4 linked regions of the Callithrix jacchus genome follow. The protein of the gene in region 4 interacts with the protein of the main gene of each other region in a pairwise test. Links are inferred from orthologs where the notes say so. Each region holds a gene or a part of one and is shown on either strand. Other genes may lie near its edges.

Region 1 (5,439 bases), on a different chromosome or scaffold from region 4:
AAAAAATGGCCAGATCGCCCAACATGGTGAAACCCCTTCCCTACTAAAAATACAAAAATTAGCTGGGCGTAGTGCCGCATGCCTGTAGTTCCAGCTACTCAGAAGGCTAAGTCAGGAGAATCACTTGAACCTGAAAGGCAGAGGTTGCAGTGAGCCCAGATCCTGCCACTGCACTCCAGCCTAGCAACAGAGCGAGACTCCATTTAAAAAAAAAAAAGAAAAGAAGCCAGATCATATAGTTGTTACAGACATAGATGCAGATGCAGATGCAGATAGCTACTGCTGATAAGTAATGTAGTTTAATTTATGTGAACTTTTACTAGTTTAACTTCTAGTCTGCCCTTATTTTTTCCTCCCAAATACTTGGGGCAGGACACAATACACTCATGCTTCTGGGAAATAAATTTAAGAGCTGAATTTCATTCCTCTTGTAACCCCTTAAATTAAGCAATAGAGTAATAATCAGCTACTTGACTGTCTTGGAATTGGCTGTATCTAAATCAAACCTTACACTAATTTGACTCCTACTCTTTATCTGAGTTGGCTAACTGCATCTTTCACTTTATTTTGAAATAAAACTAATAAGCCAATTTTATAAATACAAATCATAATACAGTGAATTCAACTTGGGTGAAAAGAGCAGGAAACCTTCAAGGGAAATGCAGGGAGGGACCTAACATTGAGAAATTATGTATTCAGAAGTCCATTTTGTACTAATTTACTTTCTCTTTTAGTCTTCACAAACATCATTCTAGTCAAAGTGGCATCATTTTATAGATTAGAAAAATTCAGAAGCTTTAACTCTTACTCTCTCCCCTTCACTCCAGATGCTTAACCACAATAACTTAGAAGAAGGCTCTTGCTCAACTCAAGGCCTTTCCTCTTACAATCTCGGCCCAGAATGGTCTCCTGTCTCTCCACAAGATTGCCTCCTGCTTCAGGTCTCACCTCATATAGTACCTCCTCCGTTCAATCTAAAGTAGTGTACACCTACATCAGTGTAGTGTGGTAAATTTTTTTTAAAAAAGGAAAAAAATAAAATAAAATTGTGTACGTCAATTACTCATCCTTATTTACTTCACAGAACACAAAACAGTCTGTATTCATCTTCTTTTTGTGTTTAAGAGCAGAGATACTTTGATTTCTACAGTGAACACAGCTGCCTACAGTCATTTTTAGCAAGTAAACAGCAGGACCTGGAAACCAGTCCAAGGAAATCTGACTGCAAGTTCGCGCACTGTCCTACCACCACTATTTTTTTTTTACAGATGATAGGAAAATTGCTTTGGGCTGGGAAATCAATTAAGAGGTGTGCCTTGCTGCTGTTTTGTATTCATTCATTATAAAGAAATTATACATACAGTTAATACTACAAAATATTTAATCCGAACTTATGCATACAGTTAATACTACAAAATATTTCATTCAAATGTCAAGAGCCAGTACACTGCCTATTAGAATCACAACTCAATTTGAAAAAACACTACATTTATGGTGTGTCTTATCCTAATACTTCAAATCTGTTGAGTAATTGGCATCTGCGCAATTATTTAGGCATAAAAGAAAATTAAGTCACATATACAAATAAGTTTTAGTAACAAGTTTATAATATTCTTTTATAAATTGTTTTGAATTTCACAACACATCATGCAGAAAACTTTTAAAACCAGCCATATGATATCATTTCGATAATGGTGCTCTTTTTTAATGAAAGATGACACACACACTCACTGCTGGGGTTAAACCACGTTCTTGCAGGTAAGTCACTTCACGTAAAATGCTAAGAGCGGCTAAAGCGGACCACTAACAACATTCCCTTTGTTGCCTTACCCACAGGATTTAATACTTACTGCTGAGTTCTCCATCCTCAGACACTCCTGTTCCTCTCATTCCTAGGTAAGTCAGTCCCAGTATTAGGAAAAATAAGCAGGCAGCGGTTAAGAGAAACATCGACAAGTAGTGGGCACTGAAACTCCCTGTTGGGGACACCTCCTCCCGTTTAAATTGCTGGAGAAGTTCCTCTTCTGGTTCAGAAAGCTTCGGTTTGTTGTATGTGTTTTTCAGGTAGGTATGATTGGAGCCCGTATGATTGGCGTGATTGATCCTGAGTGAACCAGAGGCAGCCACCGCCGCACTGGGAGGGAGACTGTTAGAATAAATCCTGGGGGAGTCCACATTGAAGGCCCCACCGCCAATATGATTATTGGTTTTCAGAAGGGAGCCTGTTGACGAATCCAAGGTTGAGTCCAGGTCAGTAAGTGGCGGGGGCAGGAGAGGGGTCAGTTTTTTAGCATTAACACGATATCTAGGAACTGGGCTGGAGTCCACTTGATCACACCCTCCTCCCTGCTCCGCGGCCGCCGCCTCTTCGAGGTTTCGGCTCCCGTCTAGACTCCCGGCAGCCGCCGCCCTGTCATTCATCGCGAGTCCTCCCCCTCCCTGAGCTGAAGTCTCCAGCCTGCCGCCGGCCGATTTAACAGTCAGCGGGGAGAGAGGCTTACTATGGGTCCGTCTGGGCCGATGCCGGGAAAGGGAGTCGTCCTTTAATACCTGTCTGGTGGAGGCCACGTCGTCGTCGTCCTCTTCCTCTGAGTCCGAATAGTTTTCCCGGCAGCTGTAGGGGACAAGCCGGCTGCCATTCACTGTCCGGCTGGCCCAGAGCGGCTCCTCGGCCTCCGGGTCCCTCTCTTCACCGTCCTCTCCCTCCCCTTCCTCGTCCTCCACTGCTCCATCTTTCCCCGCCGCAGTCTGCAGCTCGGGGCCCGCCGGCCTCCTGGCCCCCCACCACGAGTGGGGCTTCCTTCGCTCGGCCGAGTTGCTGTTAGTCACCTCGCTGGCGGCCAGGGACGCCGGTGGCGCTTTGAGCCCGCGGTACTGGAGCGAAGCCCGGTCTTTCCTCCCGCCGCCGCCGGCCTGGTCTTGGGGACTGGCCTCCACGTCCGACTCGTCCGAGCTGAAGCCCAGCAGCACTTTGCTGCCAGCCGCGGGGGCGGCGGAGGAGCCCCCGGGCCCTCCCAGGAGGCTTTCCGGGCCAGAGGCCGAGATTCGGCACAGGCCCCCAGGGGTCCGTAAGTAGGAGAGGTCGCCCGAGACCGGCCGGACCCCCATCCCCGCGGCCGCTGCCGCCGCTGATCCCGCGGCTGCGACCGTGGCGGCTGCCGTGTTATTGTTATTACTGTTCCGCGTCTTGTTGCCGCGGCCCCCCGACCGGTGCTGCTGCTGCTCTTCCTCTCGAAGCTTCTTCAGCTTCTTGAGGTAGACTGGGCGGGTGCTCTCCGTCACTGGTCCAGGAGACAGGCCGTAACGGCGGAGCTGAGAGAAAAGCTCCTCATCTGAGAGCTGCTGAGGCGCCGAAGCCGCTGCCGCCGCCATTTTCTCTCCAGGGTGTTTTACAAGCTCCGCGCTACCGGAAGTGACGCGCCGCCCTAGACCCTGAACTAGACCGCGCTGCGTCGCCCTCTCAGCGCCGTGGGTGTCTCGGCCAATCGGAGACGCGGGAGGAGCTCACCTGAGCGGGAAAGAGCCACCTGAGCAGTGAGCGGCTCCCACGGCAGAGACTGTGTCTACTCTCTCACCTTGAGGTGTCGGCGCATTCTCCCCCTCCTCTCCGTCCCGTCTCCGGCTGTTCTCCACCCTGCCCTTCCAAGTGCCATTCCCGGGAGCTGTCTCTTACTAAACCACACCTTGACCTCTCCATCCTAGGTTCCTGCCACTGGGCAGTAATAATTGAAATCTACCTTGAAGTTCATGGCATAAGTTTTCTTTACATCTGGATTCCCACTGCCGAGGGAGCCTAGACCGACTGAACGAAATTCTGCTGGCCAGACTAGATTGGCAGCTTTCCCGTCTGACTTCAGGTTGTCTATTTTCAGTTCGTCTTTCGCTTGACTTACAAAAATAAAAAAACAAAAATTAAGTGACTTTCTCTCGCTGCTCTTTTTGAGAAGCGTTTCCTCTCCTATTCCGAGAAAATACAGAGTACATCAATCACAATACAATTTTATTCTAGAGTAATGGCTGTTCGTTCATCAGTTAATTGGAAGACATTATCTTTCTTTTTCCTTTTTTGAAACCTAATGACTTTACTACGTCAGCATTTTTGAAAGTGAAAGAGCTTATCTGCTTCATTTTAAGACTCGAAGACATAACACATGACCCTATTTACTTACTTCTTAGCACCTTTCCAACCATAGTTATTATTTATTAATAAATATTTGTATTTGTTTATTTTCAAAATTATTTATTTTCCTATCCTTTTAGACTATAATAAGTTCCATGTGTGGAGGAACCTTGCTTCTGTTATTCATGATACTTGTAGAAGCTCAATAAATATTTGTTGAATGAATTAAAGAATTGCAAAGAGAGGATAGTATGAGATGAATATTTTGAAATGAGACCAGTGCCAAGTGAGGTGGAGAAACCTTCACACAAAGTCAAAAAAAAAAAAAAAAAAAAGACCTGGAAACCCAACTCTTCCATTTACGGAATAGGAAACGAATCCCAGAGAGTTGAAATGTGCCCAGTGTGGTAAAGCTCTCTTCCTATTTTCCCATTTCCCCAAACCTTGGCAGACAGACAATTCTTTAGTTCTTCAATCCTATTAGCTACAAAATGCTACAATAATGTTTTTTCTGTTGAATGAGTTATTTTACCTATTACATTACACCCCGTACAGAAAAAATGTTAGCCAAAAGCATAGATCAGGCTGGGTGCGGTGGCTCGTGCCAGTAATCGCAGCACTTTGGGAGGCAGGGGTAGGTGGATCACAAGGTCAGGAGTTTAAGACCGGCCTGGCCAACGTGGTGAAACCCTGTCTCTACTAAAAATACAAAAAAAAAAAAAAAAAAAAAAAAAAAGATAGCCAGGTGTGGTGGCAGGCACCTGTAATCCCAACTACTCGTGAGGCTGAGGCAGGAGAATCTCTTGAACCCAGGAAAGTGGAGGTTGCTATGAGCTGAGCTGAGATTGCGCCACTGCACTCTAGCCTAGGCAACAAGAGTGAGATTCCTTCTCGAAAAAAAAAAAAAAAGCACAGATACTAGCTTTTCTATATCCAGAATCAAACAGCAGAATAATACTAACCCTAATTTTTTACTTTTCCTAGCAAAAGCTTGCCATCTTCTCAAAAGAAAAAAAGCTTTTATGTGGAGGACAGTCACTTGTCCTTTAATCGTTGAGCCTTTAAGATTTACAAATGTTCTTGAATCTATTACTGTTATGCACTTATAAGAGAATTTTGCAAAGTAAATTATAGTGGCTATGATGATGACCCAGACTTTATTGCCGTAATTATCTGGGTGGGGACTAAAATTATTATAAACTTAGCGGACTTGTGTCTCCATGTAGCAGAGTGGTTAAGCTGTGAGGTTTGGAGTTAAATGAAACTAGATGTGGACCCAGCCCTGTCTCTTACTTTCATTCTTGGTTCAACATTTGCTT
Region 2 (5,478 bases), on a different chromosome or scaffold from region 4:
GCAGCAGCCACAGCCTTAGCAGAGCTGGGGTTCCTGTCCTCTGCACACGATTGACTTTCTTGATGGGTAATTTTTTTTAAGATCTTAACAGTGGATCAGCTGGGTTTTGGCCAGGAAGTTGTCTTTGTGGACTCTGCCTGCATGGCTTAGTAGTAGAAGGAAACTTTTTTTTTTTGTTTTTTATAATTCAGTTTAATCAATAAACATGTATTTATTGACTATTTTCTGTGTTGAGACTGAATGTGTTGAGGTGTCAGATTGAAAGCTCATGGTTTTCATTTGCTTTATGAGTTTGTTGTTATGGACAATGTAAATGGAGGGATGGTTTGGTTTTCCCTTCAGCTCTCACTGAATTTCTATAATACTTTTAATTTGCTGAAGTTTGGAGAGGATACATGTCAGACTCACCTACAGTGTTCATTTTAAAAATTTGGGCTGAAATTAACAAAAAAAATTCAGGCTGAGCATGATGGCTCATGCCAGTAATCCCAGCACTTGGGAGGCTGAGGCGGGAAGTTGCTTGAGCCCAGGAATTCAAGGCTGCAGTGAGCTATGATCATGCCCCTGCACTCCAGCCTGGGCAACAGAATGAGACCTTGTCTCTAAAATATTCAGGTTTAGAACCATTCCAGGGATGGCAACCTGATGCAGAGCAGCTCTACTAGACGGTCTCTAAGATGGCATTTCAATGAAAACCACAGCCAACATTAAGAAATCTGTATTCTTTGATAATACATTGCAGTAGGGGAAGATTTGGGAGAAAAATTTGAACACAAAAGCCAGTTAGCACATAAAAATTAAATCTGGCTTCTATAGGAAGCTGCTTCTAATATAGCCCCAAAGGAAGATGCTAGTGGGTCTTTCTGTACTGTGCAGAGAATTCTGTATTTGCTACAAGAGCCTCAGGGTTCTCCGACCAGGGAGGGAGATGCCACACGGCACTACTCAGCAGTTCTGCACTTGTGACACAGTCAGACAAAAACTACTCAGCAAGTATTTTGAAGAATTTATTTAGTTTACAAAAGAAGAGTCTGAACCAGCCAAGTTTAAAGTTAAAAGTAGGGTACAACTTCCGTTCTGGATAATGCATCTGTATTTCATTCAAAGCCACTAAAAAAGAAAGAATAATAAAATTGTGAAGCCTAAAGGGATCAATTCCCAAAAATAGCTGCACTGTCCAACCAAAACCCTCTCCCATCCAGACAGTTTTCCTGGGTGAGCCTCCCAGAAAAGTCCAGTTCAGTGCAAGCCAAAGAGCTCCCAAAATCTGCTACCAGTTTTTTTCCTAAGACTCACCTGATCATGTGGGCAATATCCCAGTTGGTCTCTGCAGACAGTGGTCCCTCTATTTCAACACCTTTTTCAGTTACAGTGGCAATTTGAAACTGGAAGAAAGCAGAGCATTCAGTAATGCCCACCCCTTATGTCCTTAAAGGTCAGGTGGAGGTCTTCCCCAATCTGAAAATAGTCGCACAAGTGAGGCAATCTGTTCTTCAAAGCATAGAGACCCAGGGATTGCAAGTATCCAAGAGTCTGCCAATTAGGTTCCCAGCACATTCCTCACCCGGTTGTAAGAACGGGCATCTCGGTAGTACAGCACTCGCATGCAGCGTTCTACTAGCTCTCGGGCCTCGGTCTGGCTCAGCACTGGCTGCTTCTCCAGAACTTCTCGCAGCAGAGGCTAGAGAGATTGGGAGGGGAACCATGGGAGATACTGGGCTGAATAACAAGCTAGTTGTCTCAAGTCAATGGTATAAAAAGCATTAAAGAGTGAAAAGATGACATTCTACCTCTTGCAGAATGAACTCTGCTTACTAATAATAAGCTAAAAGCCACTTGAAGGGGAAGTTCTAGGGTGTCCTCTCTTTGCATGTCTACCGAGTCCCAGACATGCCATCTCGTCACTGGAATCTTAAGTGTCAACACCTACAGCCCCCAGACTACAAAGAAAACCATCTGCCCAGCAGCAGGGATCCCAGCCTGTCATTTCAGAACTTCAGGAGAAAAATAAGCAACCACTAATACATTTTCCCTTTTGTCTCCCCTTGCTCCCGCCTCTCAACTCACTGCTTACCTGAGCCAAGTATGCACCATAACCAGTGGCCAGTGAAGGGGCTTCGTAGGCTACACCAAGCATGTCCACATAACCGAGGAAGCTAACAGGACACAATGGGTCAAAACTCATTTCACCTTAGGTTCATCTTAGCTGAAGAAGGGGACCATGGGGCCTAAGTTAAAGTGGGATTCACTTGGGGAAAAGAGACAAGAGATACTACACAGGCACTAGTTTGGGTGGTAAAGGAAATAGGTTATTTGTATTCGTATGAACCTCTCTCCATCAGCATAGCCTCCGATGACCATGGTGTTCCACAGAGGGTTCATCTTCGACCGCCGGCTGTACATGGCCCGGGTCAGCCATGAATGAATAGCTCTAGGACTATAGCTGTGTCCATCTCCCAGCAGCTCCTCATCAATCCTTAAAAGGAATTGGTTGTGAGAAAAGGGAGAGACTTAAATCCGGATCTCCACCCATCCCCAAAAGAAGTTACCACACCTTCCCCCATTTTACACCTCCTAATGCCAAAAACTTTATTGCAAACACTCTTGGATCAGCCACCCCCAACAATTCTCCCAGTGCCCCGTTGCAACATCAAGTACCCCCATGCCGTCGAAGGGAATGAAAAACAGGGACTATCCTCCCTACTTGGGAACCACTCTCCCGTTCTCTGGATGACTTACACCATCTGGCCGAGAACTTGCTTCAAATACTGGAAATCAGCGTAGTCCCCAGAGGCACCCAGCATGGTACTGTTGTTGACTCGCATAATGCGAGAGATGTTGCGGAAACGAGCCAAGGAGCCGTAGGATCCCAGCATGTCCGCGGCAATCACCACTCCGCCCTCGAACTTAACGCCGAGGACTGAGGTCCCGGTCACCATGGGGTTTCTGGAGAGAGAATGGTGGGAGCTGAGCGGGGAGATGGCCTGCGCCGCCTTTCCGCGCACTGGGCTCCGCTTCTGATTTTCTGTAATTACTTTCAATGATTCTGTATTCTCCAGGACTCCGCGCCCGTAACTCCCGTATGTTCGCGCGCCTCCGGGGTCCCCGCCTCACCTTCCCGGGCTCTCAAAACCCGCCGGGCAGCACCAGGACCAACGATCCCTCCCCCTTCGCAAGTGAAAGCGCCGAGAACTTACTGGGTCCGCGTGATCGGACCTCTGTGGAGCGCGGACGCCGGATCCATCAAGGAATCAGGAGTGGACGGAATGCGGTAAAACTGTCCTGGGGCCGGACCCCCAGCCCAAAGTCCGGACCGCGACCCCAAAAACGCTTCCATCTTAGTCACGGTAGCAGAAAAAAATGAAAGCGCTTGCGCCAACGGAAGCGGAAGTGATCCTTCAGTGTCACTTCTTTTTCCTGTAGGCGACTTCCAACAGCCATGTTGATGAGGTCGTAACTGAAAGTGCAGTAATCCTAGGTGGCGACCCAGACGAAGAGTTGGAATTGCCCCACGTCGTTTCGCAACACATCTCCGTGGAGTTTGGACCAGATCGCAGTGCTCTAACACACAGTTCAAGGAGGAGGGAGGCATGGGGGTGGGGTGGGGAGGTGGCCACTTAAAGACGCTGATTCTGAGCGAGACGTCACAATTTTTTTTTTCCCTGAGACAGAGTCTCACTCTGTCGCCCAGGCTGGAGTGCAGTGGCGCGATCTCGGTTCACTGCAACCTCCGAGGCCTCCCGGGTTCAAGCGATTCTTGTGCCTCAGCCTCCCGAGTGGCTGGGATTACAGGCGCCTGCCATCACGCCCGGCTAACTTTTTGTGTTTTTAGTAGAGACCGGGATATCACCATGTTGGCCAAGCTGGTCTCGAACTCCTGATCTCAGGTGATCGGCCCGCGTCGGCCTCCCAAAGTTCTGGGATTACAGGCGTGAGCCACCGCGCGGGGCCGAGAATTCATAATCCTCATGTTTCTTTCGGATCATTATCAAAAAGCCCACGCGAATATATCAGTGAACACAGGGTTTCTTGCATCTATAGTCCTCAGAGCAGCCCCATGTGACTGCTCAGGCATTATTCGACCCGTTCCGTAAAGAGGAAAGCGGGACTTGTGAAGTCGTGATATACCCATTCACACAGCCAGAACCGGTGAACTGAATCTTAAGCCCAGAATAAAAAAAGGAATCTGGGCCGGGCATGGTGGCTCATGCCTGTAATCCCAGAACAGAGGCCAAAACAAGAGGATCACTTGAGCCCAGGAATTCAAGATCCGCCTGGGCAACAGGATGAGACCTCGTCTCTACAAAATAAAACCAAAAATTAGCCGGGCATGGTGGCACACTCCTGTAACTCCAGCTACTTGGGAGGGTGAGGTGGGAGAATCGCTTGAACCAGGTAGGGAGGTGCACTGAGCTGAGGTCGCACCACTGCACTTCAGCCTGGGCAACAGAGCAAGACCCTGTCTCAAAAAAAAAAAAAAAAAAGAATACACTGTGTATACCCCGTGGGCTGTGATAGCTCGGGTGGATCAAGCACTCTCTGTGGGACCTTAGACACGTCTGAAAATTTCCTTATTGTCAACGGCCCTTGCCCACCTCTTAAGCAGCAGAAAAAATCCACTGAAAGTTTAGGGATGAAACTAAATTCCAGGGCTTTTCTTCTCAATGTAACTCCATAGCAGGGGCTGGAAACAATGTCTTGAATCAAAATGATGAACTTTGTCAAAGGTAAACAAAGCGGGTCACTAAAGTGGAAAGGACAGATTTCAATCAATAACTACTGCAATAGGGAATCAAACTCCAGCAGGAACCGAACTCAACTGCAATTTGTATGCAAGTAATGGATATTTTACAGGGAAAACGAGGTTCGGGGGCGGTGAGACAGAGGGTCGGTAGAGTCAGGGAAGTGAACGTTTACAGAATGAGTCAATGTAAATGCACTTAGGTCAGCGATGTCTGCTAGCTGATGATTATGCAAGTTAGGATCCCATCCTCGCGCACACAGAGACTGGTGAGGATACAATCCTCAACACTATCCTTAGGTGTCTTTTGTTTGTTTTCTGAGACAAGGTCTGGCTCTGTCACCCAGGCTGGAGTGCAGTGGCGTGATCTCCGCTCACTGCAGCCTTTGCCTCCCCAGCTCCAGTCATCCTTCAGCCACAGCCTCTCTCGAGTAGCTGGGGAGTAGCTGGGACTACACCTGCGCACCACCACACCCAGCTAATTTTTGTTTTTGTTTTTGTTTTCTTTTTTTCGTATTTTGAGAGGGAGTCTCGCTCTGTTGCCCAGGCTGGAGTGCAGTGGCACGATCTTGACTCACGGTAACTCCACCTCCCTGGTTCAAGCGATTCTCCAGCCTCAGCCTCCCAGGTAGCTGGGATTACAGGTGTACATCACCATGCCTGGCTAATTTTTGTCTTTTTGGTAGAGATGGTGTTTCACCACGTTGGCCAAGCTGGTCTCGAACTCCTGACTTCAG
Region 3 (4,704 bases), on a different chromosome or scaffold from region 4:
TGCCATTGCACTCCAGCCTGGGCAACAGAGCAAGATTCCTTCTCAAAAAAATGTCCACTGTATCACCCAGCTGCAGAGCAGTGGTGCGGTCATGGCTCCCTGCAGCCTCTAACTCGGCTCCAGCGATCCTCCTGCCTCAGCCTCCTGGGTAGCTTGGGACCACCCACATGTGTTCACTACCATACTAGCTAATTTTTTAATGTTTCGTAGAGCTGGGATCTTGCTGTGTTGCCCAGGCTGGTCTTAAAGTCCTGGGTTCAAGCAGTGCATCTGCCTCAACCTTCCCAAGTGCTGGGATTGTAGTTGGGGCTTCTTTTCACACCTGGCCTCTTTGGTATTTGTAACAGTGAAAAGAGTTTTTTTTTTTTAAGTGACATGCAAGGCATTTTAAACAAAGCCTACCGAGACTGGCAGCCGATCATTCCTCACCCAAGCAGCCTCCCGGCACAAAGCCAGCGCTCAGTTAACCTTCCTTGGCAAGCTGTGTGGCCTCAGAAAGTCAGTGGCCCTGTCTGGTGGCTGCCGTCTTCACGGGAACAGGTCTGAGACATCTTGAGGGCACCTGGACCTCTCTCTGGACCCACATGCTTGGGGCCCAGGCCTCAGTGGGCTCTGCAGGCCTGTCCTGTGGAGAAATGCGGCGTAACCTGGAGTCCTTTGGAGCTGGGAGTGAGAGTTGGGCAGGTGGGCGAGGACTGGGACTGCCTTCCAGGCTGAGTGGAGGGCAGTTCCAGGCCAGCCAGCAGCCGGGTTTGCTCACATCTCCTTCAAGAATGGTGGCTCTGTTCAGGTGGCTCCTGGGTCCCACCCCAGCCCCTTGGCAGAATGTGGGCCAGAGGGTCTCCCAGCTGCCCCTCCTAACTGCTCAGGGCCCCTGTGCCCAGGCCCAAGAGTCCCTCGTGAGCACTGCCTTCCTGGCACAGCTGGACCCAGGCCTCTGGCCCCTGCTCCAGACCTCCAGAGGGCACTTCCTAGCCTGGGTGTCCGGAGCCTGGAGCAGTGCTGGAATGGCCAGGGACTTGTGAGTCCCTTTATCTTGAAGCCTGCTACACACTCCAGCCCCCCAAGTCAGGAAGGATGGCCATCAGCATGCCCTCTGCAGAGCAGGACAGGGAGGGGTGGGGTAGGGAGAGCCTGGCGATGTTTCTGACCAGTGGGGACACTGAGGCTGAGTGGCAGAGTTAGGGTTCTGTGACCTGGGTTTCCCATCCCCCACCTCCCTCTTGCCTCAGAGGGCCCTTTCTTCAACCCCCGCTTCTCTGCCTGAGGCATGATGGCCAACTTGAGCAAGGAGGCTGGGGCCAGGCAGACCTCTTCCAGGCTTACAGGGCAGGGGCTGGGCCGAATCTGTCAGTGACCACGGCTTGCCGGGCCGTGGCTGGCCCTGCGGGGTCAAGTTTCCTCTCTGAAGTGGTCCTCAGGCGCTGCCCACCTGCGGCCCCTCGTCACTGGGTCTCTCTTGTTGTACCAGGAAGTCCTCGCCTTTGTCTCACTTGAGCCCTTCTTGCCGCATACGTCTTGTTCTACATGGAGGAGGGAGAGCTTGCTTCAGAATCAGATGGGCACCTGCATTCCCTCCTAGCTGCCCAGGGCCCCCTTACCAGGCCTGAGGGTCTGCCTGGGCACCTGGTAGCCAGAGCTGGGACCCAGGGCTGGAAACTTGGCCAAGGCTGGGGCAGTCTTGGCTCAGGCAGGAGAGCTGCTGGGGCCCTGCGAGGGAGCAGACCGTGGCGGCCAGCATGTGGCTGCCACCGCGTCCCCATGGGAGGAAGCGCCCACTGGTCCACACACAGACTGCGGGTTGGGCCAGGGGGCTGGGTGGAGTTTAGGAAGGAGGAAGTGGCTCCTACACGGCCAGAGATAAATGGTGTTTGAGGGCAACAGCGGGTGGTGGGGGCAGTTCCAGGCAGAGAAACGTCAGGGCAGCTGGGGGCAGTGGGAGGACAGGCTGGCACCGTCACTCTGGACCCCAAGTCAGGTGGGCAGGTGGCTTCCTGGAGGAAGCAACTCGGGTCCACCAGGCAGCTGAGGGCAGGTCGTGGATAGAGAGGCCCTGTGGGCTGTGGGCCAGTGTGGTCTCTGCCCCGAAGGGCCCAGAGCTGGGATTCTGTCCTGAGCTACTGGGGGATGGAATTTGGCCACATCCCAGAAGCATCAGGAGGGCAGCCAGGTGCCTGCGTGAGTTCCTCCTGTCGGTGGCCTGCAGCCTGTCGAGTGGCGGACATGTCTATTCCTTTGTGGAAGCAGCTATGCTGCTCCTGGGCGTGCCGGCTGCCCAGGGGCACTGCCTGGGGCTGGGTGGCAGCCGCTTCCTGGCTCCTGGTCAGGAGTTCCAGGGTCCGTCTCATGGCTCGGTTGCTGCCTTATTTCCAGCTGTGGCCTTGGGGATGGTGCTTTGGTGACAGGATTAAGTCACAGCGATGACCCTGTTGGTGGCTGTGTTGCATGAAACTTTCCAGAAAAGTCCCGTGGGTCATAGAACGCTGATGCGGGCTGGGGAGAGGCCTCATCTGCGTGTTGGGGCTTTGGCTGGGCGTATGATGCGCGCAGGCTGTGGCCAGATGTAATGGTGGTCGCCGCCCAGCCTTCCCTGATCCCTCGTAGCCCTGAGCCAGCAACAAAGCTTGGGGCTTGTCCTCAGGGTACCTGTTCTGGGAGGTGGAGGTCAGTGCTGGCGAGAACCTGAATCCCAGGCCCGTACCCCGCTGCCACCTCCCCCTGATGGTGTCCTCTCTTCCTTTCCCACAGTCAAGGAGAAGCTGCGCCTCGATCCCGACAGCGAGATTGCCACCACTGGGGTTCGGGTGTCCCTCATCTGCCCGGTGAGTTGGGGCGCACACCCCTCCTCGGGGCCTCTCTCCTGCCCGGTGGTCCTGGTCCCGGGGCAGCTTGGCTGGGCCGAGAGCCTGAGTGGCAAGGCTGGTCTTGTTCCCCTCCGTGTCCCTGAGACACGAGCGATTGGAAGGAGCCACAGGATGGAGCTGGGGGCGAGGGGCACCGGTCGGGCACAGCAGTCAGGGGTGCCCTGCTCACCCAGCTCCTCACCCGCAGCTGGTGAAGATGCGGCTCTCTGTGCCTTGCCGGGCAGAGACCTGCGCGCACCTGCAGTGCTTCGACGCCGTCTTCTACCTGCAGATGAATGAGAAGAAGCCCACCTGGATGTGCCCGGTGTGCGACAAGCCAGCCCCCTACGACCAGCTCATCATCGATGGGTGAGCCTGGGGCCCTGGGGAGGGAGGCCAGAGCCAGACACCGTGGAGGTCTCAGCGGCACCCTGCTTCCTGCAGACCCTGTGCTGCCCCAGCAAGACGCAGTAGTGAGGGCACTTGGTCCCAGAGCTCCGGGAGCACCGGGGCTGCGGAAAGAACCCATTTCTTCCCCAGGGAACTTGTCAGAGCTGTGCAGGTGCCAGGTGTGTAGCTTAGGCTGCAGAAGGTGGACTCGGGTCCACCCTTGCTCCCACATGACCTTGGGTGAGTGTGACCTTGCATTGCAGGAGTATGTATAGTTTTTGCCGAGAAAAGCTGAGCCAGGCACGGCGTTTGTACGGCGTTCCACCCCAGGAAGTGCAGACTTGGCAGACTGGGTCGGGGGTGACCTCCTCAGAGAAAGGCAGAGGAGGCAGCGGCTCCCGGAGTGCTCTGGCCACACCGCACCCTACCCTTCCTGGGTGGCACAGCTGGCCAGGTGGTCCCCAGGCCACAGGATAGGAGGGCAGGGCCTTTCTACCTGGACGGAGGCTCTCTCTGCCCAGGGCTTGTTTCCAGAAACTGAGCGTCGTTGTCTGTGGTGCCCAATTTGGCTCCTGGCTGGTGCCAGCCACGCTGCCATTTTGTCCCCAGAGCCGCTGGCAGGGTGTGAGGCCACATCGGCACGAGCTGGTGCCCTCACAGGTGGGAGCAGGCCCCGCCCAGGGGAGTGGGCCCAGCCCCCAGCCCTCAGGGGCATGGCCTCAGCCAACCGTTCAGGTAAAGGCAGGACTGGCCCACCTCCAGGGTTGTAGATTTGGTCCCCCAGTAAAGGTCCTGGGAGGCAGACCTTCGAGCCTCCCCATCTTACAGACAGGGAGATAGGCTCAGAGAAGGCAGCCAGCAGCTGGAGCCGCCCCGGCCCACAGGTGGACTGGCTGGGACTGGAACCCAGCCTGAGTCTGCTCCTCTCCTGGGAGAGCTGCATTGCCACCCCGCTGCAGGCCAGTTTCGGGTGGAGAGAGAGGCCCTGGGGCCTGGGCACACGGGCTGCCTGAATGGCCTCTCTGTTCCCGGCCTGACAGCTGTGCGGCCGCTGCCCGCCTTCCCCCACAGGCCTGAGCTGGGCTTGGGCTCTCGGCTCCAGGGCTGGCAGGGCTGGGCCAGGCAGCCGTGACCCACGTAGGCCTTGGTCTCAGCAGCCACCGGTACTCCGTGTAGCCAGGGAGGCTTCCTGAAGGAGGGCTCCTTGGTTCATACATTTCTCCATGAGGCCTGTCACCTGTCTGTCCCTAGCCCTGAGCTGGGTGACCCCAGGGTTCCCAAAAGAGTCATTTCCCAGACCCTGCCTTTGGAGAGCCTTGCTAGGGGCGGATGGAGGAGCAGAGCCAGGCATAATGTTCCTGCTGCTGTGCCTGTCAAGGAGGGGAAGGGACGCTGTGGGATGGGGTTTCAGAGGCTGAGTAGGAGTTTGCAGGCAAAGAAGCAAGCAGGCAGAGCTGGTCCCATGCCTGGG
Region 4 (4,704 bases):
ATATATATTATTAAAATCAGGATTTTGCACTGATACCTTCATCTTCCTTCATAGGGTTTATTTTTTGCTCCCTTCTGCATTTCTATGTCCATTTTTCCACAGTGGAAACAATATCCACATATTTAGTCATTTGCTTCATCTTTTAATACATATGAAAGTTTCAGAATGGTTTCACTCACACAGCTATGAAATAATCAAGTTTACTAGAAAGAGTTCAGGATTTATTTGAAATCCTCCCCCTATGCTATCTACTCCACTCAGCCTAGACTGAGGATATATAGTCACATACTATATTGGTAACTTATTAGGCTTGCTTTTTGGTCTTTACTTTTTCTTATTATAAATATATCCATGCCTGATTTCTTGTTCTTATGAAGGTGCTTTCTTATGTGGATAGTTGTTCAATTTGGTGTCCCTTTTGGGGGACAACCACTGCAGGGTTCTATTTGACCACCTTGCACGATGTCTGTGCTAGAAGCTAGTTTTCTCTTCTATTTACTGAGTTACGGTATTCATTTGAAATACAATTAGCAACTAAGTTTAATTTGCTTTTAATTTTAGGTTGTAATTTATTTTTTAACCATCAATTTATTCTGTAGTAAAATATCAAATAAAATAGTCTTAAAATGGCAAATCATAATTTCAACTAATTAATTTCAATATTATGAGAGTTGATCGAGCACAAAAATCACTGACTGCAAGAGCTTCCAGGTAGAAGAAACTGGAAAAATATTTACAAACTGCAGCAAGTGAGTCTTATGGTCTTTGCTATACTAGTTTGGTATAGGAATGATTTTAAGTCAGCTCTGGAGGAACAGGGACCCAACTGAAAACATCTGAAAGAGGTTAAAGCAAAAACTCACCTTTTCCAATATGCCGCCTGGTGTTTTCAATAGTGGAATTCCGGTTAACATTGGAGAGCAGCCCAAGGCAAAAACGGTTCTTATTGTTGGAAGGATCAGTGAAACCATCCACTAACACACTTGTGGAGGAGGCATGGAACGCTTCACCCACACGATTGTTGAGCTCATAGTAGACAATAGAGCACCAGTGTTTTGGTTCCTCATAAGCAACTGCCTGAACGTCTATAAGAAAGAAAATGACTTATCAACCAAGGTTAGTGCCTCAAGCGCTCAAAAATTGAAACCGTATTGTTGAATTGGCTCAGGATCATGGAATGAAGATATTGGAAAAGATATTGCTATTATAATGTATACAGTTTTTCTATGATGTTTAAAGCAGGTACTTCTTACTAAATATGACATTCTTCTTTAGGAAAACAATGTTCTCCAATTACTATCAGATAACCAAAACACCAGCTAAGGAAGCATAGCAACAACTTTTGCCAAATACTAACAATATGATAATTGCTCTGTAATATGCAGAAATGGAAATCACTCCACTGTAGACTTTGACTCACCATCTAAAGAAACACAAGTGACAAGTGAAAAAATAAGTGGGAAGAGGGCAATAGAAGACAGGAAATATGCCAAAAGTACCGGCATAAAAATGAATTCGTTTTGGCAAAGACTAAGTATGCCTATGCTTTTTCAAAGCAATGAAAATCAGTTTCTAATTATTGATAAGAAGTTAATTACTCATATTAAGTTGCCAATAACTATCACAGCTACAGTGGTGCTCCAGTTCTCAAACTCAGGAAGAAATCTTGCCAGCTGGCCATTCTTACAGAATGAATCATATCTTTCTCATCCAGATTTCATGCTAACTTCCTTATATTTGCTTTAAGTCATGCAGAGCAGGTGTGTTTTGTCTCTCCATTCCCAGAATGGGCCAACAATGGAAATTACCCAACTTTACTGACAGGATGCAGCTTGTTAAGTCAAATCTCTTAAGACTAACAAATCTTTCCAAACAGAACATGCTTCTAAACATTTGCAACTAAAAGGTTTTAAAGATGAATTCCTTCTGTAGTAAACCTCTTGTATTGCTGCTTTAAAGATTCCAGGAATACAAACCATATATTTCCAGCAAGCCAATATATAATGATCTGAGGTTTACGAAGTCTTGGGTATAGAATAATAAGAGAAAGAAAAGAAAGTCCACATCAGAAGCCCAGGCTATAACTGCTAAGGGAGAAGCACCTCTGTGTTCTTAACATCAAATTCCACAAATACTAAAATGCACTTACTTTAGAATTTGGTCAAAACAAAACAAAACAAAACAACAAGAAAAAACACAACACACACACACACACACACACACACACACACACACACACACCAAGAAAACAAGGAAAATACTCATTAAAAAGCCCAGACATAAGTTAGTTGCTTTACATACTTAAGTAGTTAGCTAAAAACATACACTATCTTCCTTGCTTGCTAAGCAACTCTACCATACCAATTTGCAATATTTCAAAGAACAAAACTTCAGTGATTTACAAATCTTAAAGCAGATCGCAGCATTTTAACAGAAGGCTTTTATCAGCTATCAGGATACTTCAAAATACTATTCATCTAGGTCAGAGGTTGATCCATTTTTTCTGTGAAAGGCCAGAAAGATTTTATGGGTGGTATAATCTTGATCACAACCATCCAATTCTGCCTTTGTAACACAAAAGCAGTCACAGACAATATGTAATGAATAAATACAGCTGTGGTCCAATAATGCTTTATTTACAAAAACAGGTAGCGGGCTGAATTGTCCTGTGGGCTGTTGTTTGTTGACCCCTGCTCTAAGAAAATCACCAAAGGTTAAAGAAAAGTAGGAAAAAAAGGGGAAAAGAAAAAAAAAAAGGCCAACATTCCTTTCTCATGAAAATATTAAATGACTATACATTAAAAAGGAAAAAAAATTTAAAGCTATTTAAATGAAAAAAAATCTTAAAGCAATTTAAAGATCTGTTTCCTGAAATCAGACATTCTGGGCTTAGCAACAATAGATACTGGGTCCACATGCTCCTAATAGTGAGGTACTGTGCCTATTCTCTCCTGCTGTCCTGGTCCCCAAATATAAATTCCACAGATGTGTGAGACAGAGGTTATTTCCCCCAATGAGAGTGTTCATTGACTTATAATTATGTTTGATAGATTTTCAAGAGATAATCAGGAACCATAAAATATGAAGCCAATAAAAAATATTTTAAAATTATACTGATTAAAAAGGTGTACCTTCCAATTTATTACACTGAACATCTAAGAAAGGTCCTTTGAGTTCATCACTAATTTTTGTTTTTATTTTTATTTTTTTTGAGACTGAGATTTGCTCTTGTTGCCCAGGCTGCAGTAGAATAGTGTGATCTCAGCTCACTGCAACCTCTGCCTCCTGGATTCAAGCGATTCTCTTTCCTCAGCTTCCTGAGTAGCTGGGACAACAGGCACCCACCACTACACCCCTCTAATTTTTGTATTTGTAGTAAAGGCAGGGTTTCACCATGTTGGCCATGCTGGTCTCGAACTCCTGACCTCAGGTGATCCACCTGCCTCAGCCTCCCAAAGAGCTGGGATTACAGGCATGAGCCATGGCACCTAGCCTTCATCACCAATTTTTAAATTGACATTTAGAGCAGTTTTAGGTTCACAGCAAAACTGAGTGTAAGGTAGAGTAATTTTTGATATGCCCCCCAACCCCCTACACCTTCCTAGCCTCCCCCATTAACAAATGTAAGACTCTCCCCCACCAGAGTTGTACATTTGTTATAACTGATGAACCTACATTCATCCTACAGACCTACACCCAAAGTCTATAGTTTACATCAGGATTCACTCATGGTGGTGTACATCCTATGGGTTTGGACAAATGTATACTGACATGGAGCTACCACTGTATAATGTATCATACAGACAAAATCAATTTCAAGTACTTAAAAATATAAGCAACTCCTATTTTAATAAAAAAGCACTAAGAGTGAAATAAGACATGCCTGGTAATCAAATTACTAGGCATGCACTTTAACTTCAGTTTGCATCAACATTATACAAATTGCATGACCCATGCCATGTGCTGAGTGCAGCAGTGAGGCACCTTCTTTCACGAGAGGTTACTTAGGAACAGTTTTATTTGCCAGTGTGGCTGTGGATTCTAACAAATTCTCAGAGATTCTACCAGACTTATTTACCTGAGTTCTCTGCTCACTTAAGTCTATTCTACTTGCTTCTGTGGAGCTGGAAGAATGATCCTCCACTCAGCACTGCTAAGGATAATATACCACTGGAATCAAAGACCTGCCCTTTACTAAAGGGGGAAAGAAATTTTCATTTCTGCTTGCAAGTTCTTCAGGTTGAAAAGAGGAAAAACTTGGGCCTCAATTTCTTTTAGTAACAAAGTTAGAAACAAACAGCAAGAAAGAAATGCTATTAGTTTGTTCCAGTTGTGGTTACACATACATAAGGACTGAAAATAGATGAGGTTTATGAGTATCTATCTTAATTACAAAAGAAAGCCTTTGGACAGCCCAGTTATACCAACTTCCAACTTTGGAAATCACCAATGAAACTCTACTTCAGTACTGTTATGCTTATTGTTTCTGAATACCATTTTGTTCATTTAAAAATACTCTTTTCAGCTGGGTGCAGTGGCTCATGCCTGTAATCCCAGCACTTTGGGAGGCTGAGGTGGGTGGATCACCTGAGGTCAGGAGTTTGTGATCAGCATGGCCAACATGGTGAAACTCCATCTCTACTAAAAATACAAAAATTAGCTGGGTGTGGTGGTGTGGGCCTGTAATTCCAGCTACTCAGGAGG

What was found.
Region 1: the proteins of SMAD1 (region 4) and LEMD3 interact in binary tests that used the Homo sapiens proteins (3 or more experiments, as listed by UniProt). The link is inferred for Callithrix jacchus from reciprocal best matches to the Homo sapiens genes SMAD1 and LEMD3.
Region 2: the proteins of SMAD1 (region 4) and PSMB4 interact in binary tests that used the Homo sapiens proteins (3 or more experiments, as listed by UniProt). The link is inferred for Callithrix jacchus from reciprocal best matches to the Homo sapiens genes SMAD1 and PSMB4.
Region 3: the proteins of SMAD1 (region 4) and PIAS4 interact in a two-hybrid assay, tested with the Homo sapiens proteins (2 studies listed by BioGRID and IntAct). The link is inferred for Callithrix jacchus from reciprocal best matches to the Homo sapiens genes SMAD1 and PIAS4.

Annotation. Positions count from the first base shown.
Region 1 is NC_133510.1:54,091,731-54,097,169, forward strand, and holds the start of LEMD3 (inner nuclear membrane protein Man1), read right to left. Parts: upstream 3,387-5,439; 5' UTR 3,373-3,386; coding exon 1,851-3,372; intron 1-1,850.
Region 2 is NC_133519.1:11,300,216-11,305,693, reverse strand, and holds PSMB4 (proteasome subunit beta type-4), read right to left. Parts: upstream 3,364-5,478; 5' UTR 3,338-3,363; coding exon 3,198-3,337; intron 2,947-3,197; coding exon 2,740-2,946; intron 2,477-2,739; coding exon 2,330-2,476; intron 2,157-2,329; coding exon 2,075-2,156; intron 1,682-2,074; coding exon 1,565-1,681; intron 1,386-1,564; coding exon 1,297-1,385; intron 1,111-1,296; coding exon 1,098-1,110; 3' UTR 997-1,097; downstream 1-996. UniProt on the Homo sapiens protein: Non-catalytic component of the 20S core proteasome complex involved in the proteolytic degradation of most intracellular proteins. This complex plays numerous essential roles within the cell by associating with different regulatory particles.
Region 3 is NC_133523.1:3,786,697-3,791,400, forward strand, and holds part of PIAS4 (E3 SUMO-protein ligase PIAS4), read left to right. Parts: intron 1-2,748; coding exon 2,749-2,822; intron 2,823-3,051; coding exon 3,052-3,212; intron 3,213-4,704.
Region 4 is NC_133504.1:51,458,369-51,463,072, forward strand, and holds part of SMAD1 (mothers against decapentaplegic homolog 1), read right to left. Parts: intron 1,086-4,704; coding exon 864-1,085; intron 1-863. UniProt on the Homo sapiens protein: Transcriptional modulator that plays a role in various cellular processes, including embryonic development, cell differentiation, and tissue homeostasis.